Linked DNA regions of Rattus norvegicus. Each later gene encodes a partner of the first gene's protein in a complex. Links are inferred from orthologs where the notes say so. Each region holds a gene or a part of one and is shown on either strand. Other genes may lie near its edges. The genes, in order: Ntrk2, Frs2 and Ntf4.

Region 1 (5,592 bases):
GAAGGCCAGTGCAGAAGGGAGGAGTCAGGAAGGGCCTCTCCTTTCTTTCACTCTTTGAAAGTCAAGCCTGATCACAACGCTTATCTCTGGATAATCTGTGCTTACAGGGACACTGGTGTGTGCTGATTAGGTCAGGACAATTAGCATGTGTATCTTCTTAACCCTTTACCAACAGAAAAGGCTTTCGTTTGTAGGTGTGGTCTTGCTATGTAGCCCATGTTGGCCTTGAACTCATGACCCTCTTGCCTCAGCCTCAGAGGAAGCCCTCTCGCTGTTTTCTCACAAGGAGGAGAGCCACTATGATTTCACAAAACTGGTATAGGCACAATTTATTCACAAAGGGTCACCTGAATTCCACACAGAAATTCTGGGTTTTACTGAGTAAGGGTAGAGCCTGAGTTTTGTGTGAAGTGAGGACTGACAGGGACACCCTGACAGCAGAAGTGATTAGGATCACTGGTTATCAGGGCTGGGTTTAAAAACGCATGGATGTGAGAGAGACTGGAGACACCTGACAGAAGTGCTACACGTCACACAGACGTGCTGCCGTCTCTCGGTATCCACGGGCTCCAGACGTGCACCCAAACAGCAGCAGACTGGGAATCCGTGAGGAGAACGACACCCATACTGGGCACATGCAGATGTTCCTCTTGTCATTACTCCCTAAACACACTGCGTGCTTGCTATCCCCAATGTGTACTGTTGCCGTAAGCTGGAGATGACCCACTGTGTGCTTGCTATCCCCAATGTGTACTGTTGCTGTAGGCTGGAGATGACCCACTGTGTGCTTGCTCTTCCTAATGTGTACTGTTGCTGTAAGCTGGAGATGACCCACTGCGTGTGCTCGCTATTCCCATAGTGTACTGTTGCTGTAAGCTGGAGATGACCCACTGTGTGCTTGCTATTCCTAATGTGTACTGTTGCTGTGGGCTGGAGATGACCCACTGTGTGCTTGCTATTCCCATAGTGTACTGTTGCTGTAGGCTGGAGATGACCCACTGCGTGCTTGCTATTCCCATAGTGTACTGTTGCTGTAGGCTGGAGATGACCCACATGAAAGAAGATACCAGGGTGGCTTGGGGGATCGGACATTATCGTTGGGTATTAGGAATTTGAGTGTTCTAAATTTGGTCTGGGGTTGTGTGTGGTTCTCAGAATTTCAATGGGTTATGATATTTCGAAAAGGAATCAGAATAGGCAAACAGATTGCTTGAGATTTTTTTCATTTAGTGGTTAGGGTTCTGGCAGAATCTGCAAAGGGGAAGGGCGTGGCGACTTCTCTGGAACAGTGCAGGAACTCCGGCCAGACTGAGGAGCACGGGCCACTGAGGCTGCCCTTGATTTGTTGGACAGTGAGCAATGTAAAATCATCCCTCGGCCCTGTCCTTAGAAGGGGCGAGGCTGGGTCAGAAAAGGTAGTGACTCTCTTTCTCCAGTCAGTCTCTGGGGAAGCTGTTGAGTCAAACAAAGCCACAAGTGGCCATGTCCTGGTTCCCAGCTCTCTCTCTCTCTCTCTCTCTCTCTCTCTCTCTCTCTCTCTCTCTCTGTGTGTGTGTGTGTGTGTGTGTGTGTATGCATGCAGGGTGGGATCTCTCCCAGACAACTGCCCACCTCGTTGTTTGATAGCTGATACCAGGGCTGCTTGCCGTAGGTGAAGATCTCCCACAACACAACTCCCAGGCTCCAGACGTCACTCTCGGTGGTGAATTTCCTGTACATGATGCTCTCTGGAGGCATCCATCGGATGGGCAACATTGTGTGGCCACCAACCTGTCAGGGGAGGCATCAATAGGATGGTCAGTCATCTGGAACCAGTGTGGAGGGTGGCCACGGGGAGGTGGCTCCCTCAAGGGGCGCCGAGGTAATGGAGTCGGAGGGTAGAGAATGGTGGAGACAATGTTATAAATGTCATTTGCAGTTCTCCTCTTCTCGAAGCCAGAGGAGAGCAGAGGGCATTAAGTTGATGTCCATTTTGGATTTAAGAAAGCCCTTGTGCACTTTTCGGTGGGAGAATCAACCCATCCATTCATCCACTAATCAATGTGATAATTTTGACCAAGGTAACAAGCAAAGGGTTCTTCATCCCAGCCTAGCGGTGCCCAGGATGGAAGTTAGTATTCCCATTTTACTGACAAACAACTGAGGTTTTGTATCGAGACTTTAGAGTCTCATCTATGATAGGGTGATGCGACTCATGGATAAATTTACTTTTCAAAGAAAAACACCCATTTTAGTAAAAACAGAAGCCCAGTGTCACCTGGAGATAGCATCTGTGCAACCACAGAAACTTGACTGACAGCCACCCTGGCACTACTGAGGCCATGGGCAGGGACACTCAAGGGCCTGAATTAGACATGGTTCAAGATGGACAGCTCCTAGAGGCACCGCCCAGCTTCCATTCTCAGTATGGGTTTGTGACTTTCTATACAAAGGAGATGAACCTGCCCATGGGTCTGCTGTCATTTCCTCCTAGGGCCATAAACCATGGGGGCACAAATCCTGCCCAACCAGGAGGAAGTACAGTGCAGTGTGGTGTAGCCTGACTGTGAGTCCTCAGCTGACCGACCGCTCAGACAATGAGTAACCGCTGAAGTTCATGGAAGGCCCAACATTTCCCAGTGCTCGGAAGGACTCGTGGCCTGAGGGTAAATGACGTCCCAGGACCTGGTGGCCTTAGCCACAGCAGAGTGAAGACTGGTTCTGATGCTTCCCAAGCCTGATACCCATCCTCCCCTAGCCATAGTCCAGAAAGGTCAGAGAACCCTGGCACACGCATTTTCCAGTAGCTCCTCATGTCGTGCAGCAGTCCTGCCTCCTCCGTGCGTGGTCTTCCCTCAGAACACATTTTGAAAGCTTTCCACGGTTTACGGACGTCTGCCCTTTCCCCATCGAACACACGTGAGACTGCACCGCTGGTTAGCCTTGACACATGGGGCAGACAACTCTAAGGCCTGGCTGTCTCCCCTGGCCTTTCTCATTCACACAGCATAAATGTGCTGGGCCTCATGAGGCCCTAAATACAGCTCTACATAGGACAGTGCTTAGACGGGAGGTCAAAGGGGTTAACCATCCCAGATCTTACTCTTGTCTTACCAACTGCAACTTTTCTTTCTTTTCATCAAAAAAAGCACTCCTACCTGATTAGTTTGCCTTAGCAAGTGCCAAGAGTACCCCAGCCTCCCTTGTGTGTCTGTCCTTATGTCTCATTACCATAAAAAACAGATCCTCCAGGGGTTACAGTGAACCGTTCAGAGTGACAAGTCACAATCTGTAGCTTTGTCTTGTGGCTGTGCTAAGTGTGTTAAGGCATCTGAAGGGGAGAATCTCAAACAGGAAGGTCAAGTGTCTGCTAATATTTCCGGGAAGGCTCAGGGCTGGAGACGGGCACCTGTCTTTCAGTTACTTCTTCTGCAGGTCTTTCTGTAAGAGCCATTTATAAATGTGCTTCTCGGAAATCCTGAAAGGCAAAAGCACCAACTGCATGGTAGAGGAGCCAGCAAAGCCTGGAACTAGATGGGGGGGGGGGGTTAGTGGGGGAAAAGATACAGTCATTTGTTCTGTGGAAATACTCAAGTTATAATCCAGGTTGTGATCAGCGCGTGTTGAAGCATGAACCGAAGTGTCAGACTTTGCACACCAGCCCCAAGCAGTAAGAGCAGCCTCAGGGTCCTCGGGTCCTACCCCGCCAGCCTGTAGCTTGCCCTTTCTTGGACATTGAAATCACAGAGCGTGTTCAAGCATCTGAGAGGTTCAACAAATGGGTAGAGATTTAACTTTCCTGGTTACTGGAGCAAATCAACGTGTATTTGTGGCCTTCTAGAGCTGGCTGTCTATAAACTTTGGGGTGTGCTGATTTTGAGAGCTCTTCCACATTTTTTTTGTTTGTTTTTTTCTCGAGTACCCACAATGCCATACTGTATCCACCACCGATTTGTGATCAGAGGAGACTTTGATCTCCAACATGGACAATGCTGACCAGCAGTAACACTGGTCTGTGTCCTAGTTTCTCTAAATTATGAGAAAGAACCAACACACGGGACTCCCACATTCCCCAGCTGCCAGTGACTTCAAGGCTACGCCACATCTCCTGATCACGACATTTCTTTTCTGCTTGAGTTCTTCGGGTCAGATATTTTCCCCCTTTTGTCTTTATTTCTTTCCAGGTTCTCTGTGGGGATTCCGCATATGTTATGTAGAGAATGCTTTCTCCTGCTTTCAAACGTATGAGTAATGGGATATTCTAACAAGAGTTCATGCAGGAGCCACCAATCTTCTTGGCCCACTTAGAACAACCCTGCGCAGCCCTTTGCAGCTCTTTCCTCAGAATTTTCAGGCATGCCACAAGAAGAGACCCACAAAAGAAACAGTCACCGTGGCAGCAAATGACTGTCATATTTCCGTTGTAATCACTCCACGGCTTTCGGGACATACAGAACTACAGTCTTCTCACTGCAGAGTACAGGGAGCCATTTGTTCTGAACTGTACTGCTTGGCGCCCTGCCCTCACATCCTTGCTTAAATGTTTGCAAGACTGAATATAGTTTTCAAGTATGGCACTGGGAGTCTGAATTTCTGCCTCTGGTTGCCCACTAGCCAGGGATGCTGAGAGATGCTCCAAGAGTCAGGGTGGGGCAGGCTGAGCGCCCTTCCCTGTGGGCAGGCGGGTAGAACAAATGGAGAGAGGAACCCTGAGACCAGTGATTTAGTAACTGTTTCTAGTTCCTGATGCGTTACTTACTAGCAACCACCCTGGGCTGTTCCTGGTGCTCTGTCTGGTTAAATGCATTGGGTTAGGGTAGCCCTCGGATACTCCAATTTGCTACAGTTCTGTAACTACAAACCACCACTTTGCATTGCTAATCATCCATTCCCAGATGGCTTCTCACCCTCTGCAAAGAATCTCCATTCAATTATCCCAAAGTATCCGACAGGACAGCCACTCTCTGGAGAAGATACTGGTTTGCTTGCCCAGAGCCAGATACAAACCAATTTCACTTTGTTCTGATGGTTTTCTTGATGGCCAAACACATGTTCTATGTACAGTCAGAGAGCTGAGTCATGGATGCTCGCCCAGGGAAAACTTATTCATACTTTTTGCAAGGTCTGATCTCCCTGTAGCCGAGGTGGTTTTTTTTTGTTTGTTTGTTTGTTTGTTTTTATTTTTGTTTTGTTTTTTTTAAGGTGGATTCACGTATCCTTTTTTTAAGGAAGCCTCCCTTCTGTAACTCCTTGGCTGTTCAGTGCCCTTAGTGTAGCTGTGCAAACACATCAGATGCTGCCGACTGCTAAGGCATCATACTTTCCTAAAGGAACATCACTAGTAAAGTTAGTTGATGGGGTTGTTGGTGGGCAAAAAGTGGGCTTTTACAAGTGCTGCTGCTTCTGGACAAAGATTCACAGTATGTTCTTTAAGAGGGATTAGTATTCACTACTCTCTGTCCCAAGCACAATTCCTTAAAACAAAGCCTTAGTCCAGATGCAGGGAAAGTCACTTTTATTTGTCGTTTGATGCTGGGGGTGGGGTGATAAGTATTGGGTCGGGTGGAGAGATGGCTCAAAGGTTAATAACTAATATTGCTCCTGCAGAGGACT
Region 2 (6,403 bases), on another chromosome or scaffold:
AAATCGCTTACTCAATGCTGCGTGGCTGGGTGGTGGAGCCGCTGGAATTTGCTTCTCCGGGCTCCAGCCACAAAGTGGAAAGCGCAAGAGCTTTGGAATTAGGGGGATCTTTGAGCAATCCCGTTTCTACCCCGGAACAAGAATGTGGCCTTAAGTCAATTACTTCACCTCGGTCTCAGCTATTCCCATTTGTAAAAGTGAGACCATAAAACCTCACAGCACATCGAAGATTAATTTAGAAAAACGCACGTAAAGCCTCCGACACCACCAAGCAGGTCTCAAGTAAGGTTTGTTTCACCCCACCCCCACCTCAGAATCATCTGGTTTGGTGTCAGTACAAATCGAAAAGAAGTCTCCCATTAAAACTCATTTTCCCCATTTTTATCTCATGTGGAAAGAAAAGAATGAATAAGACTGCTCTAAAATGTCATTTAGTTAACGGGAAGCCTTGTTTTCTCTTCTCTTTCTTCCTTTCTTTCTTTCTTTTTTTTTTTTTCTCCTGACTACGAGTGTAGCTCAGCGGCATTTGCTTCCAATGGGCTTAGAGACAGACTTGAATCCCCAACACTACAAAACTAACACTCCTCTCCCCGCAACAAGAAGGATCCCAAGCTGTAGATTTGCCACAACTAAGAAAAGAATATGCAAAAGATAGGCTACTAGAATGCTGTAGTTCTTTAACTCCACCTTTTATCAGATGCCCTGGTTGGGGAGGAGGGACTTTTTTAAACTAGTTTTAAACTAGGATTGTTGCGTCTAATCCTAGAGTTACAGCTTTACAAGGTGTGGGCGGGGCCTGGTAATTTGCATCTTTAATAAGTTCCCAGGTGATGTTGAGCTGCCAGACCAGGGACACACCTTGAGAGGCACTACCCTGGGTAAGTGAAAGGTTGGGGATGGGGCCCAGCAATTTGTTTAACAAGCCCTCCAGGTGATTGCCATGCACTTTCAAGCTTGAGAATTGGCTGGCAGCGTGGCGAAAAGCATCTGAGAACACAGATTCACTTTTAAATCCAGGCTTCACCACTTACCAGTTATATGACAGTCTGTGATTGAGGGTTCCCTTCTCTAGGTCTCTAGGCCGTGTGTGTGTGTGTGTGTGTGTGTGTGTGTGTGTGTGTGTGTGTGTGTGTGTGTGTGTACACGCGCGCCCCCGCACGTGTGCTTGTGCCTGGGATTGGGGGTGGGTATGGGTATGGTAAATGGCTGGAGACAGCCGAAGTTTTGCCTGTGCAGGCTCAATTTTTTTTTTTTTCCTTCAGTCTACTAGGAGGCTGCTTGAACTTGAGAATTCTGGACGTATTTACAAACATTTCTGCAATTACATAAAACACAAGGCAGTGCTTTAAATAAAGCAATAGTGATGGGATTGTTTGCATCTTGAATTTGTAATAAGGGGTTTTCTTTTACCCTGCCTTTCTCAAAACAGAATGTTTTAAAACTGTTCCCTGCAGTATTGAACAGACACTATGCATGCTAAAATAACTTTTTCTTCCTTCTTCCCCCCCACCCCCATGTCTTTTTGGACAAGAATTTTGCTACATAGTCCTGGACCCTTTTTTCTGGAAACTCACTGTAAAGCCTAGGCTGGCCAGAAACTCTCCGAACTCTCCCTGCCTCAGCCTTTTTAGACTGCTGGAAATACAGAAACAAATTACCTCGCCAGGCTTGGGCCCTTTTCTTCTTTGTCGGGTTTCACTTCAGACTGAAAACCTGCCTTCAATATTTGATGCATTTCTTGATTTTGTGGCAGAGGAAATCATCTTTTAAGATGGTCTCTCTTCCCTGCCTGACATCTGGCTCTCATACTGTCTTTGGTCAGTTTCAAAAGTGCCCAGGTCTTCTCTATTGCTTGTTACTGGTTAGGTCTAAGAATTGTGTGGACTTATTCAGTCCTGGGTACTCTGAAATGTTTACCATGCATTATATTATTTTTAACTTCTACGATCCAGAGATGAACATACCCCAGGGTGAAATGTAAAGTAACAGGATTCTGGCCTTAAGATTGTAGAGCTCATCATCTCAGACTTTGTTGAAGGTGCAAAGGATGACCGATATAGGGAAATACAGTTTGGCTCCTGTCTTAGAATAATTCGAAAAAGTCTTGTTTGGGGCAAATGAGATTTCTACGAATACCACAAATTAAAGTAAAACCAAGAGCCAGCATATGTGGTAACGTTTGATACCTGGCCGGTTTCCTTCCTGGTAAGGCATAGAGAATAAAAGCACCAATTTCCAGGAGTTTGAAGGTTATTAAAAGAGTTAATGCCGCCGAAGCGCGTAATGATTGTACTCTCTACCACGCCGTAAGCCTTCCTTCCATAAATGTCAACTGCATTTTCAAGCGGGACAGAAGCGAGTAAGGATAACACCGCGGGCCAGTTGGCAAGCCGGGTGAATGCATTGGGCTAAACTAGATTCTCCGAGCTTCTGTAAAACTAGGTGGCTGGAAGGGAAAGATCCTAACAGCCGTTAAAATAAGGGGTGTCAGCCGTAGCCTGGGGCCCGCGGGACCACGGGTTAGCAAGGAGCCCGGGGGCGGGTCCGCTGGCGCTGGGAACGGAGGCTCCGCCCCTCCCGGGAGGGCTGGCAGCTCCAGCCTGGGAGCAGTTCCGGTGCCAAAACCCTGCCCTCCCCCGCTCCCCCGGAAGTGCTTGCCTAGGGTTCGGGCTGGAGAAAGGCCTGGTAGATACAGGCGCCGAGGCTCCGTCGGCTCGGAGTAGGGGGTCGGGTCGCGGAGAGAGTGAGGAGCTCTGCGGCCGCTACCCCGCGCCCTCGCAGCGCCTTCGCGCCGACGGTGAGTAGCCGGGGAAGCCGAGCGGGGCCTGCGCCGGGCGGGCGAGCCTCGGACCCGGCTGTCCACAGCAGGTTCAGCTGTCGGGGTCCGAAAAGGGGGTCGTCGGCCACCGCGGAGCGCGCGCGGCCCGCGGGCCGGGAAGAGGCGCGTTGCGGGGCCGCGGAGTGGGCGGGGCGCAGCAGGAGCGGGTTCCCGGAGCCCCGGCCGCTAAGGGGACTCCTGAGTGGGGCCGGGCCGTCCGCTCTGCTACCACCTCTTTGCTCGGGCAAGTAGGCTCGGTGCCTCCGCTGTGGGGTCTGTGCACCCGGGCGCTGGGGACCTGAACAGCAAGACTGTCCCGGACATCAGTGCCCGACTTTCGTCGCCTCTTGGCTTGGGTCTGTCCTCCCTTCCCGGCTCAGTAATTATCGTGTGTCTCCCAGGGGTGTAGTCTCAATCCGAGGGTGGGGCGCTCCCTCTGTGGATGCTGGCAATCTCGTGCGGGGCTTTTCATCTAGATCTGCGTCAGGGTCGCCAGGGTTCGATTTGGACTCGAAACATAACAGAGTCTGGATGCCTGCATAGGGTCGGTCATTGAGACTGTATGGTTCCTCGAAGGGTTTTTCGCTCACTTGAAAGTTGAAACTGTTGGGAGTTACTTCTTAAAAACAAAGGTTTGAGGAGAATCGTAGATTCATATGAGTTTCCCCGTGTTCTTGCTTACGTAAAGGGGAAAAAAAGATGCTATTCTCTAATCAGCCTTCCGAATTCCTGCGCTCATCCGAAGACACAGTTTTAAGAGTTCAGTCGGGACCTTGCACAAGTTGACTGCGAAGGGCTGGAAAATGGTATCCTTTTCTACCCCAGTTTGAAAATCTTGTAGGCACTGTTAATAAACGAAGTTTAGGTGATAAACTACCGATGAAAGGTTTATAGGAAATAATGGAGCTATTTTTCGCTTTTTTTTTGAGTTTTAAATTATAATCAGATAGTTTATTTGTTGCAGATGACCTTGTAGTGTCACGTATACACAAGTCATCTTCATGAAAGCAGTGACATTATCTGTACTTCTTATTGTGCTGACGTTAGCGTTCATACTGTTTTGTTTTTGTCTTGTCTGTGTCTCTCTCTTTCTTGTACTTATTCTCTCTCCTTGCACTACTGGAAGGGAAGATAGTATTATGAATGAGGGGAATGATCTGAAGTGACAAGTTCCATAAACTGTCTTATGCAAAAGAAAATTTATTTCATTAAAAAAGTTCTCTGTGTGTAATGCCAGAGGTTCACATTGGCTGTCTCCATAGAATAACCCATCGTTGTGATCATTATCATGATCATCCTCATCATCATTTTGAGAGAGGGTTTCCTGAGCTTGGAGCTTGTCCTTTTGGCTAGAGCCAGCAAGCCCCAGGGGCCCTCCTGTGTTTACCCCGTGTGCCCAGTCCAGGTCTAGCGGTTATAGGCACATGACCCCAGCATCTAGTTTTTATGTGGGTGCTGTAGATGCCAATCTGGGTCCTCATGCTTGTTCAGCAAGCTCTTTGCATGCAAGCAATCTCTCCAGAACCCCCAAATCTGTGTCAAGGTTGTTGACAGAAAACAAAGGGGATGCATTTTTTATGCGTGTGGGAAAATGTGAGGATAAGTTGCACAGTGTTTAGACTCGGATAGATGTGTCAGCCTCTTAGTATATGAGGTACTCAGTTGTTCAGAGCCCAAGGTTGGGATGTTGAATTAAAGTCTGGGAAATGAGTCAAGTTATGTATTTCTATTCTGCATATAGTGTATTTTGAAGGAAAACACTATAGGAGTTAATGAAAGCATAAGAAATAGGTGAAAAGCAGATACTTTCAGGCATTGTAACTTTTTTTAAAAGACCTATTTATTTTATGTATGTAAGTACACTGTCACTCTCTTCAGACACACTGGAAGAGGGCATCGGATCTCATTACAAATGGTTGTGAGCTACCATGTGGTGGCTGAGATTTGAACTCAGGACTTCTGGAAGAGCAGTCAGTATTCTTAACCGCTGAGCCATCTCTCCAGCCCTAGGCATTGTAACTTTTAACTATTGCTCAAGTCAATTCAAATGATACTGAGCATTTTCTATGCATCAGACTCTTTTAGTGAACCATGTAGGGAAAAACAAAGACAAAGCCATTATAATTTCAGATTCATGTTTTGATAATCTTCCAAGGTGTGTTGAAATCGTGAAGAATTGAATTGTACTGTCTAGGAATATTCACCCTCCTCTGAATTGGGACTTAATTTGGAGGGGGCTGTTGATCGCTTTATGAAGCATACTGTGCTAGGCACTCTTGAATCACAAGGTTAAGTTTGGCCTTTAGGAATTTGAATCTAGTGGGGATGTAAGATACTGGTATAGAAGTTTACAGTATAAATAAATATGTGTCTGGAGATGGTGGCATGCGAGCGGTGCCAAAGGAGTCACAGGCAAGATGATGGATGGTAAGCTACTAGTTAGGCTGACCCTGTTTACAACAAATGAAGACTGAAAACAAAAAGCGTATGTAAACACTTAACCGCATAGATGGGTTTATCTAAAGTTTGGGCTTCTATAAAAGCAAAATGTTTGTTCTATAGTGTAAGTCATACTTTACAACACAAAGGCACGGCAACACTTGTTAGGGTAGGTCAGTGCAATGATTTATTGGGTGCTTAGTTCTGTTATAGTTGTGTTTTCTTTTTTCTTTTTTCTTTTTTTTTTTTTTTGGTTCTTTTTTTCGGAGCTGGGGACTGAACCGAGGGCCTTGCGCTTCCTAGGCAAGCGCTCTACCACTGAGCTAAATCCCCAACCCCATAGTTGTGTTTTCTTAACAATATAGAAGCTTCTTTCTTTTGAGACAGGGGTCTCCCTGTGTAGGCATCGCTCTGAATAGTCAGGATACCATCATCTCAACTATGTCTAGTAACTCCCCCTACAGTTATGTGACTAGCAGAACTGTCTGTATTTGAAGCCACATCTGCCTTGTCAGAGAGCTGGTATTTCTACTTCATGGTGCTACTTCCCAACAAGCTTGTATTCTTTTTATTTATTGTGGTTTCTGAGACAGGGCCTCCTACATCTCAAGTAGGCCTAGGGATGAACTTGAACTTGTCATCTGCAGCCTAGCCCTCCTGCGTCTGTTTGGGAGTACAGGCATGTCCTACTCTACCTTGCTCTTAAACTGGCAATCTTAAATTAATTGGTGACTGAGGGTTAAACTCTACTGAAACAAATATTCAGGAGTAGGATTTGTGGATAAGGAAGGCCTTTCATATTAAGAGAACGACAATTTAGAGATGAGAAGGCTCATGATGTGGAGAAAAGTGTCTCAGATGACCTGGATGGTTTATTTTGGAATTAGAGATGAAGTTTGCAATTTAAGTCAAGGCTGGATTGTGGAGCATGTTTAGATGCTATATTTGAAGCTCAACACTTTGAAGAAAACAAGAAGTGTGTACCTTGCAGCAGTTTAGTATGCGGAGTGATTTGTTATAGTAAGCTACTAATAGACTACTGTGCACACTGTGAGTGATGCTGGTGGAGCGAGGACAAGAGCCCAGCAGGCTGGAGAGGAGAGCTGTAGGAGGCAGCAGTGAAAAGCCACATTTCTAACTGTGGAT
Region 3 (6,381 bases), on another chromosome or scaffold:
AATACACCAGGAAACACTTAGAAAAAAAGGGGGGCATGGGCTCCTCACTCACAGAAAAGATGGGAAGTCAGAGTGGGAGGTGGTTAGGGGGTGGGAATAGGGCCACCCTCAGAGCATCAGGGGTGTATTCTGTCTGGCAAGTGGTCCAGGCTCACGCAGGGTGGGAGAAGCTGGCCTTCAAAGACTGTTTATACACCCTCCTGTGATGGCATAGGCCTGTTTCTTCCAACACTAAGGAGGCTGACGCTGGTGAAAATGATGAGTCCAGCCTGATCCCTATAGGGAGACCCTGTCTCCCAGGTGTGATTGCACACAACTGTGATCCTGGCACCCAAGACATTAAGGTCCATCTGGAGAATATGGACCAGCCAATCCCAGCCTCAGTTGCCAGTACCTACTTGGTGCCTCACCACCATCTCTAAGTTTAATCCCAAGGGGATTCAATATTTTTGTGGTTGCTGCAGACACCCATGCGTGCAGATATCCATACATGCAGGCAAAACACTCAATACACATAAACTTAAGGACATTTTTTAAAAAGAGAAAAAAAACTAAGGTCATCCTCAGTAACATTCCAGTTTTAGGCCAGCCTGAGTTTCATGAGGATGTGTTCCACAGCATTAAAGGGGGGGGGGGGTCAGATGATGGAGGGCTTGCCTAGCACGCAGGAAGTCCTGGATCAATTGCATCCTCAGCACCACATACATTTTAATGAAAGCACTTGGGAGGCAGAAGCAGAAGATAAATTCAAAGTCGAGCCACACAGTGGTGATATAAGCCTTTAACGGCAGTGTTAGGGAGAAAAAGACAGGCAGCTCTTTGAGTTTGAAGCCAACCCGGTCTACAGATCGAGTTTCAGGACAGCCAGGGCTACACAGAGAACCCTGTCTTGGGTGGGGTGGGGGGAGTTCAAGGTCTGCCCTCCACTGAGCTGCATGAGGAGACTGTCTCCACATCAGAGCTGAACAAAAAGACTAAGGGCCGTTCCAGATGTGAGGTGTCTGTGCTTGCACTCCTCGTGGGGTTGGGCTCACTACTTAGGGCAGGATGGATGGATGTATTCCACAGAACGCTTGCACACCTTAGTCAGGTCAGACTTCCCCGGTAAACCTAGGCTCCTGGGGAATTCACTGCCTTTCCCTGATCACATCCTCACTGTTCCAGGGCTAGTCGCTTCTTTTGTTTTCCCATATGACCCATTTGCCCTTGCCCCAGACAGGTCAGTTTAAAAGTATGTAACCCAAGCTGCCCTGGACCTCCAGGCACTCTTCTGTCTGCAGCCTCTCAAGTATTAGGACTACAGGTACATGTCATAACACCCAGTCCCAGGTCTTTTTAGTTTATTAAGATAGACCCTCATATAGACAAGACTGGCTTCAAACTCCCTATGTAGCTGAGGATGGCCACAAACTCCTCATCCACCTGTCTTTTCCTCCCAAGAACTGGCACTGCAGATGAGTACCACCGTGCATGGTTTATGATACGGTGCTCAGGATAGAGCCCAGGACTGTGTGCATGCTAGGCAACCAGAAACAGCCTACTGATCGAGGCCTAGCCCCAGCTCATACATTGATTTTTCACGTAGTCTTTCCTCGTCTCTCTTGCCAGGGTAAGTCAGGGTCCTCTGATGTTAAAATGGTTAGCAGAGTCACACATTAGGTCTGATACACAGTAGATAGTAAACATTGGCTATTATTAATGTCAAGTTCCTTCGGGAGAACTCCTATTCATCAGTTGAAACCCCATTTGGTTTCCTCATACATTCCACACAGACTGAGCTCTCAAAATGAGAGAGATTTGATTCTGTGGTTATTTCAGTTCACAGTCAGAAGGCACGGTAGAGCAGTCGAGCCATCCCTGTGGTCCTTTCAGCATCCAGGGTTTTTTTTTTCCTCCTCAACCTGAGCGGTTCCCAAGCCTGGACGTCAGGCACGGCCTGTTCGGCTGAGGAGCGTGCAGACGCAAGCGGTGTCGATCCGAATCCAGCGCCAGCCCACGCGGCCCTGAGAGTCTGCAGTCAACGCCCGCACATAGGACTGTTTAGCCTTGCATTCTGAGAGCCAGTGCCTCCGATCCACGCCGCGACAGCCCCCTCCGCCCACACCTGGGCCACCTTCCCCAGCGCTTTCGGCCTTGCAGCGCGTCTCGAAGAAGTACTGACGCAGGGGACTGCCACCTGCCGCAGGCACCTCGCCCAGCACCTCCACCTCGCGCCCACGCAAGTCCACAGCTGTCCGCCGGTCGGTCACCCAGCCACTCACTGCATCGCACACTGCCAGCTCACCCCGGCGGCTTGCCGGTGCCGTCTCACTCACCCCGCGCCGGCTGCGGTTGGCTGGGGCCCCTGCCGGCTCCCCATAGGCCCCGGCCTCCAGCAGGAAGAGGAGAGGGGGCCCGGCAGGGGTGCCCCTTGACAGGGCCACTCGGGGAGACAAGAGGTCCCACTCAGGAGCCAGAAAAGGGGGCAGGGTGGAGGAGGGGGGTTGGGGCTCCATGGGGACGCTGGGGAGGAGGAGAAGGAAAAGGAGGAGAGAGCAGGAGTGGCGAGGGAGCATGGCTTTGCACACCTGAAGATGGAGAAAGAGGTTGTTGTTAGAGAAGGACAACACTAGTGACAGAAGTCAGGGACCCCTCCTCCTGCCCCACCCGTGGGCAGATATCAGCTTGGTAGACTATGGGAGGACCTTAGGGGTACCTTATGCTCTAGAACTGGTGGAATGCTTAGCTTTTAGGTTAATGATAAGTATTCAGTTAATGTAAATAAATAGACAAAATTGGGTGTGGTGATGCACACCTGTAGCCTTAGCAACCAGGAGGCACAGGCAGAAGGTGGCCACAAGTTTGAAGCCTGTCCCGTTTACATGAGTTCCACGTCAGCTAAGGCAGTACAGTCAAACACAAGGAGAAATGCTTTCCACCGGGTCACGCAGCCGGGGGAAGTGGCGTGGGTCAGATTTGAACTCTGTGCAATGCCACTTGGCCTTCGTGGTCCTATAACCTGAAGGAGCCCTCGAATCCTGCGGTTTTCAAGGCTTTAATTTCCCTGAGTATGAGACTGACTCGGCTGCTGGGAGATGCTGGGAGGGAGATGGAGAGACTAGAACATTCTAGAAGCTGGGCCAGGACTGGAAAGCAGCAGGTGAATGAATACCAGACCTGTCAACAGCACCTCCACCTCCTCACTCTGGGGCTGGGGGCCCCCAGGCTGTGTGGGGCCCCTGTGTAGGATACAGGTAGTCTCCTCCCTGACATCTCAGGAGAAGGAGGGGGCAACCACCTGTGGGAGGAAGGAAACCAGTTACATAGGCGGTAGGGGGAAGGGTGCAACCGCTCCATAAAAAGATATCTTTCCAGAGTCTTTGAAAGCCTAGGGTACCCTGGAGTAGAGGCTCCGCCCACCTCCAGAGGACGCCCCCCCTCCCCCGTGCAGGTGACAGCTTTGGAGGGATGGGAAGCAGATGGGGGCAGAGAGGAGGGGCAGGTGAGGCAACTGGAAGAGATTACATCCCCTCCTCCCGTTCCTCTACTAAACGCGGCGGGGGTGGAGCTGGCCTGGACACCCGGGTCCCCGCCGACCCACGCTCTGGGTCCCTGAGGCTGCTTCCTGGAATGTTCGCTCCTCGCAGGACAGGCCAGGGCCCGCCCAAGACTCCGACTGCGCATACCTGGAGTGTCTGGCTGGCCAGGCTCCGAGGTGGGGGAATGGGAAGTGTTGAGTGTGATCAGGGGCAGAGGTTTACCACACCACTACAGGGAGTGAGGGTGCCCGCTGCCTCCTCCGTCAGACTGTGTGCAGGCCCACAGCTGTCTCCTTCCTCAGACCCAGGGGCCCAAGGCCCCTGAACCATCCTCCCTCAGCGAGGGTGACCTGGTTCCCCAGATGCCTCCTCCTGCAGACTAAGTTTCTTGGACTTCAGACGCCTCCTCCCTCAGACCCACAGGTTCTAGGGTTGCGGCCCCTCCTCCAAGATACTCATAAATGGAGATTCCCTGCTTTCACATCCAAGAAAATTGGGCTGGGGGTCCCTGCTCTTGAGTCGGTTGGAGGGGGACCCGCTCCAACTCTGGGAGACTTCCGTCCTGCCTCAGTTTCCTTCGCCAAACCCCGCCCCCGTCGGCCCCGCCCCCGTCCCTCCCTACCCGGGGGCCGGGCGACCTGGACCGAATCTGCCAGAGGAGGCGCGGAGCTCTTACCTGGGGCGCCCTTCTCTGCTCCCCGGCTGCCCCTGGCGCCGCTGCGGCTCCTCCTCCGGCTCGCTAGCAGCTCGGACGCCCGCTGCTCGCCGGCTGCTCGCCGTTTGCGCTTGGGAGGGCCTGGGTCTGGGAGGAGGCGGGGCGGCGCCCGACGGCGGAGGAGGGGCGGCGGATCCCGCCTAGCACGCGCGGGCCGGCACCTCGGAAGCCCGGCCTTGGCCACTTCAGTTCTAGAAGTCTAGGCTGTAACCCTCCTCCATCAGACACTGGGGTTCACACCCAACCCCTCCTACGTTAGACCCGAAGGTCCAGGCTTCAGCCCTCCTTCAGACACAGGGGTCCAGACCCCAGTCCTCCTCCCTTGGACTCAGTGTTCAGAACCCCAACCCTTCCCTTCAGACCTGGATTCAGGCCTGGAATTGCTATGGTGTCTAGTGCAGGTTCCCACCCTCCGCTCCTGTCTCCCCTTCTGGGTCTCCCAGCCAGACATTAGCCAGCTGGGCTTGTGCAGTGATAAGGCTCAATTCTTGGAGACAGTGACTGTCCGGGCTCCCCCACATAGTCTTCTATCCTGGAATTTCTTGGCCGGGGACCAGGAAGTCTTGGGGTGGATAAGAAAACTTAAAGGTAATTAGAGCGAGGAGACCATGATGGGTTTTCAGAACTGTGACCTCCCTAGCGAAACAGCTGTGACCACAAGGAAGACGGGGGGGGGGGGGGAACCCAGCCAGAGAGACAGCCCTAGGAGGAGGAAAACACCCCAACGGGTGGACCTCAGAACGAAAGGCGGGATGCTGAAGAGACCTCAAGCAGAGTGTGCCTGCAACAGAAGGGCCCCAGGGTGGCAGGGCCCTTTCCTCTGCCATGCCCCCACTCTAGGACTCCAGTTCCCCTACCCCCGAGCTATATTTAGGAGGAAAGCTGACACTCGCCTTTGGGGGGGTCACCCAGCACCCATCCCCCCAACCTAAATATAGCATGGCAAAGTGGCAGGAAGGGTGTCCCCGGATTAGGGTGTTCCCCTCAAGGTGCCATCCCAGCCAGGGTGACTCAGACCCCACTCCAGTTGTTTACTGGCAGTGGGATGGGACACTTCCTAGTCTGGGTGTCCATTTGGGTCACCTCTCTGACCTTTCATTCTTTCCTGACACTGTCCATCCCTCCCAAGGGGCCCCAACTCCAGTCTCTGGGCATCAAGGGAGAAGGCTATAAAGAGGGAGAAAGTCTGTCTTTTGTCTTGGTTCTCTCTCTCCCTCTGTCTGTCGGTCTGTCTGTCTGTTTCTCTGTCTCCGTTTCTCTCTCTGACTCTCCCCCTCTCTCCCTCCCTCTCCTTCTCTCCTCCCCTCCCTTCCCTCTCCTGTTCTCTGAGCTGTTTTCCCTTCTGCCTGGCATCTGTTTTCTCTCCAGGGCCTGCTTCCCCCTCTGCCCCCAGCACCTCTTCCCTGTATTCTGTGATGGTGTCCGTGTCCTACATCTGTCTTTGGTCCCTGTGTGCAGATCCATCTCCATTTCTGCGACAGTGGGTCTGTTGGAGTGCTGTGCCCACCTTGAGATTCTGTCATGTCCTTTACATCACACCCTTGCCACTGTCCCTCCTTCCTCTCTCTCATATGGTAATATGGGTGGTGAAGATGGCTCCCCACATCCTTTCCCTGATGGCTCATGGCTCAGATGGCTCAGAGGAGCCAAATCCTCCTGACAGCCCCTCTAAGATGCCTCACCTTCAGGTCTTAAGCAAGAGTTCATATGACTACAGCAGGTGACATCGTTATCAAAAATAACTCAACACTAGGCACCGGTGAACAGGTTTTAATAAGTTAATGCCAGTCAAATACCTTGAACTCTTGTTAGTGATTGTGACCTCTCCTGCTCCCCAGAATGTGTCTCAGTCCCAGGAGACTCCAAAAATGTTTCCCTGGAGCTTAGGGTAATTCTGTTCCCTCCAATATCAGCTTCCTCCTAGAAGAGGCAGGGTCTTGCCAGACATGGTGACCTTCCCACAGCTTTAATCTTATCACTTGGGAGGCAGAGACAGGAGGAGCTCTGTGAATTCAAGGCCAGCCTGGTCTACATAGTGAGTTCCAGGACAGCCAGGGCTACATAGAGGGACCCTGTTTCAAAGGATTAAAACAAAACAAAAGACACAGGACCAGTGGCCTTGGGCAATACCTGAATACCAGAAGTTGT

What was found.
Region 2: the proteins of Ntrk2 (region 1) and Frs2 are in contact, whole or in part, in an NMR structure (PDB 2MFQ), measured with the Homo sapiens proteins. The link is inferred for Rattus norvegicus from reciprocal best matches to the Homo sapiens genes NTRK2 and FRS2. Residues at the interface, in NP_001018074.1 of Homo sapiens: Pro498, Asp499, Val501, Ile503, Gly504, Met505, Thr506, Lys507, Ile508, Pro509, Val510, Ile511, Glu512, Asn513, Pro514, Gln515, Tyr516, Gly518, Ile519; in NP_001036020.1 of Homo sapiens: Val26, Asp27, Asp28, Asp29, Gly30, Tyr59, Leu60, Cys61, Leu62, Arg63, Arg64, Tyr65, Gly66, Tyr67, Asp68, Ser69, Asn70, Leu71, Phe72, Ser73, Gly77, Arg78, Ile86, Ala88, Lys90, Phe98, Gln102, Met105, Gln106, Ser109.
Region 3: the proteins of Ntrk2 (region 1) and Ntf4 are in contact, whole or in part, in a crystal structure (PDB 1HCF), measured with the Homo sapiens proteins. The link is inferred for Rattus norvegicus from reciprocal best matches to the Homo sapiens genes NTRK2 and NTF4. Residues at the interface, in NP_001018074.1 of Homo sapiens: Phe291, Glu293, Thr296, Ser297, Asp298, His299, Cys302, Pro304, Thr306, His335, Val336, His343, Gly344, Cys345, Asn350, Thr352, His353, Met379, Gly380, Trp381, Pro382, Gly383; in NP_001382418.1 of Homo sapiens: Gly81, Val82, Ser83, Glu84, Thr85, Ala86, Ser89, Arg90, Arg91, Gly92, Glu93, Leu94, Ala95, Asp98, Ala99, Ser101, Gly102, Trp103, Thr105, Tyr135, Phe137.

What each region holds. Positions count from the first base shown.
Region 1 is NC_086035.1:5,566,429-5,572,020, forward strand, and holds part of Ntrk2 (BDNF/NT-3 growth factors receptor isoform 1 precursor), read right to left. Parts: intron 1,771-5,592; coding exon 1,612-1,770; intron 1-1,611. UniProt on the Homo sapiens protein: Receptor tyrosine kinase involved in the development and the maturation of the central and the peripheral nervous systems through regulation of neuron survival, proliferation, migration, differentiation, and synapse formation and plasticity.
Region 2 is NC_086025.1:54,674,906-54,681,308, reverse strand, and holds the start of Frs2 (fibroblast growth factor receptor substrate 2), read left to right. Parts: upstream 1-2,652; 5' UTR 2,653-2,797; intron 2,798-2,960; exon of another isoform or gene 2,961-3,174; intron 3,175-6,403. UniProt on the Homo sapiens protein: Adapter protein that links activated FGR and NGF receptors to downstream signaling pathways.
Region 3 is NC_086019.1:105,027,921-105,034,301, reverse strand, and holds Ntf4 (neurotrophin-4 precursor), read right to left. Parts: upstream 4,268-6,381; 5' UTR 4,195-4,267; intron 4,135-4,194; exon of another isoform or gene 3,666-4,134; intron 3,278-3,665; 5' UTR 3,157-3,277; intron 2,568-3,156; 5' UTR 2,556-2,567; coding exon 1,926-2,555; 3' UTR 1,436-1,925; downstream 1-1,435. UniProt on the Homo sapiens protein: Target-derived survival factor for peripheral sensory sympathetic neurons. May promote ameloblast differentiation and subsequent reduction in proliferation of ameloblasts.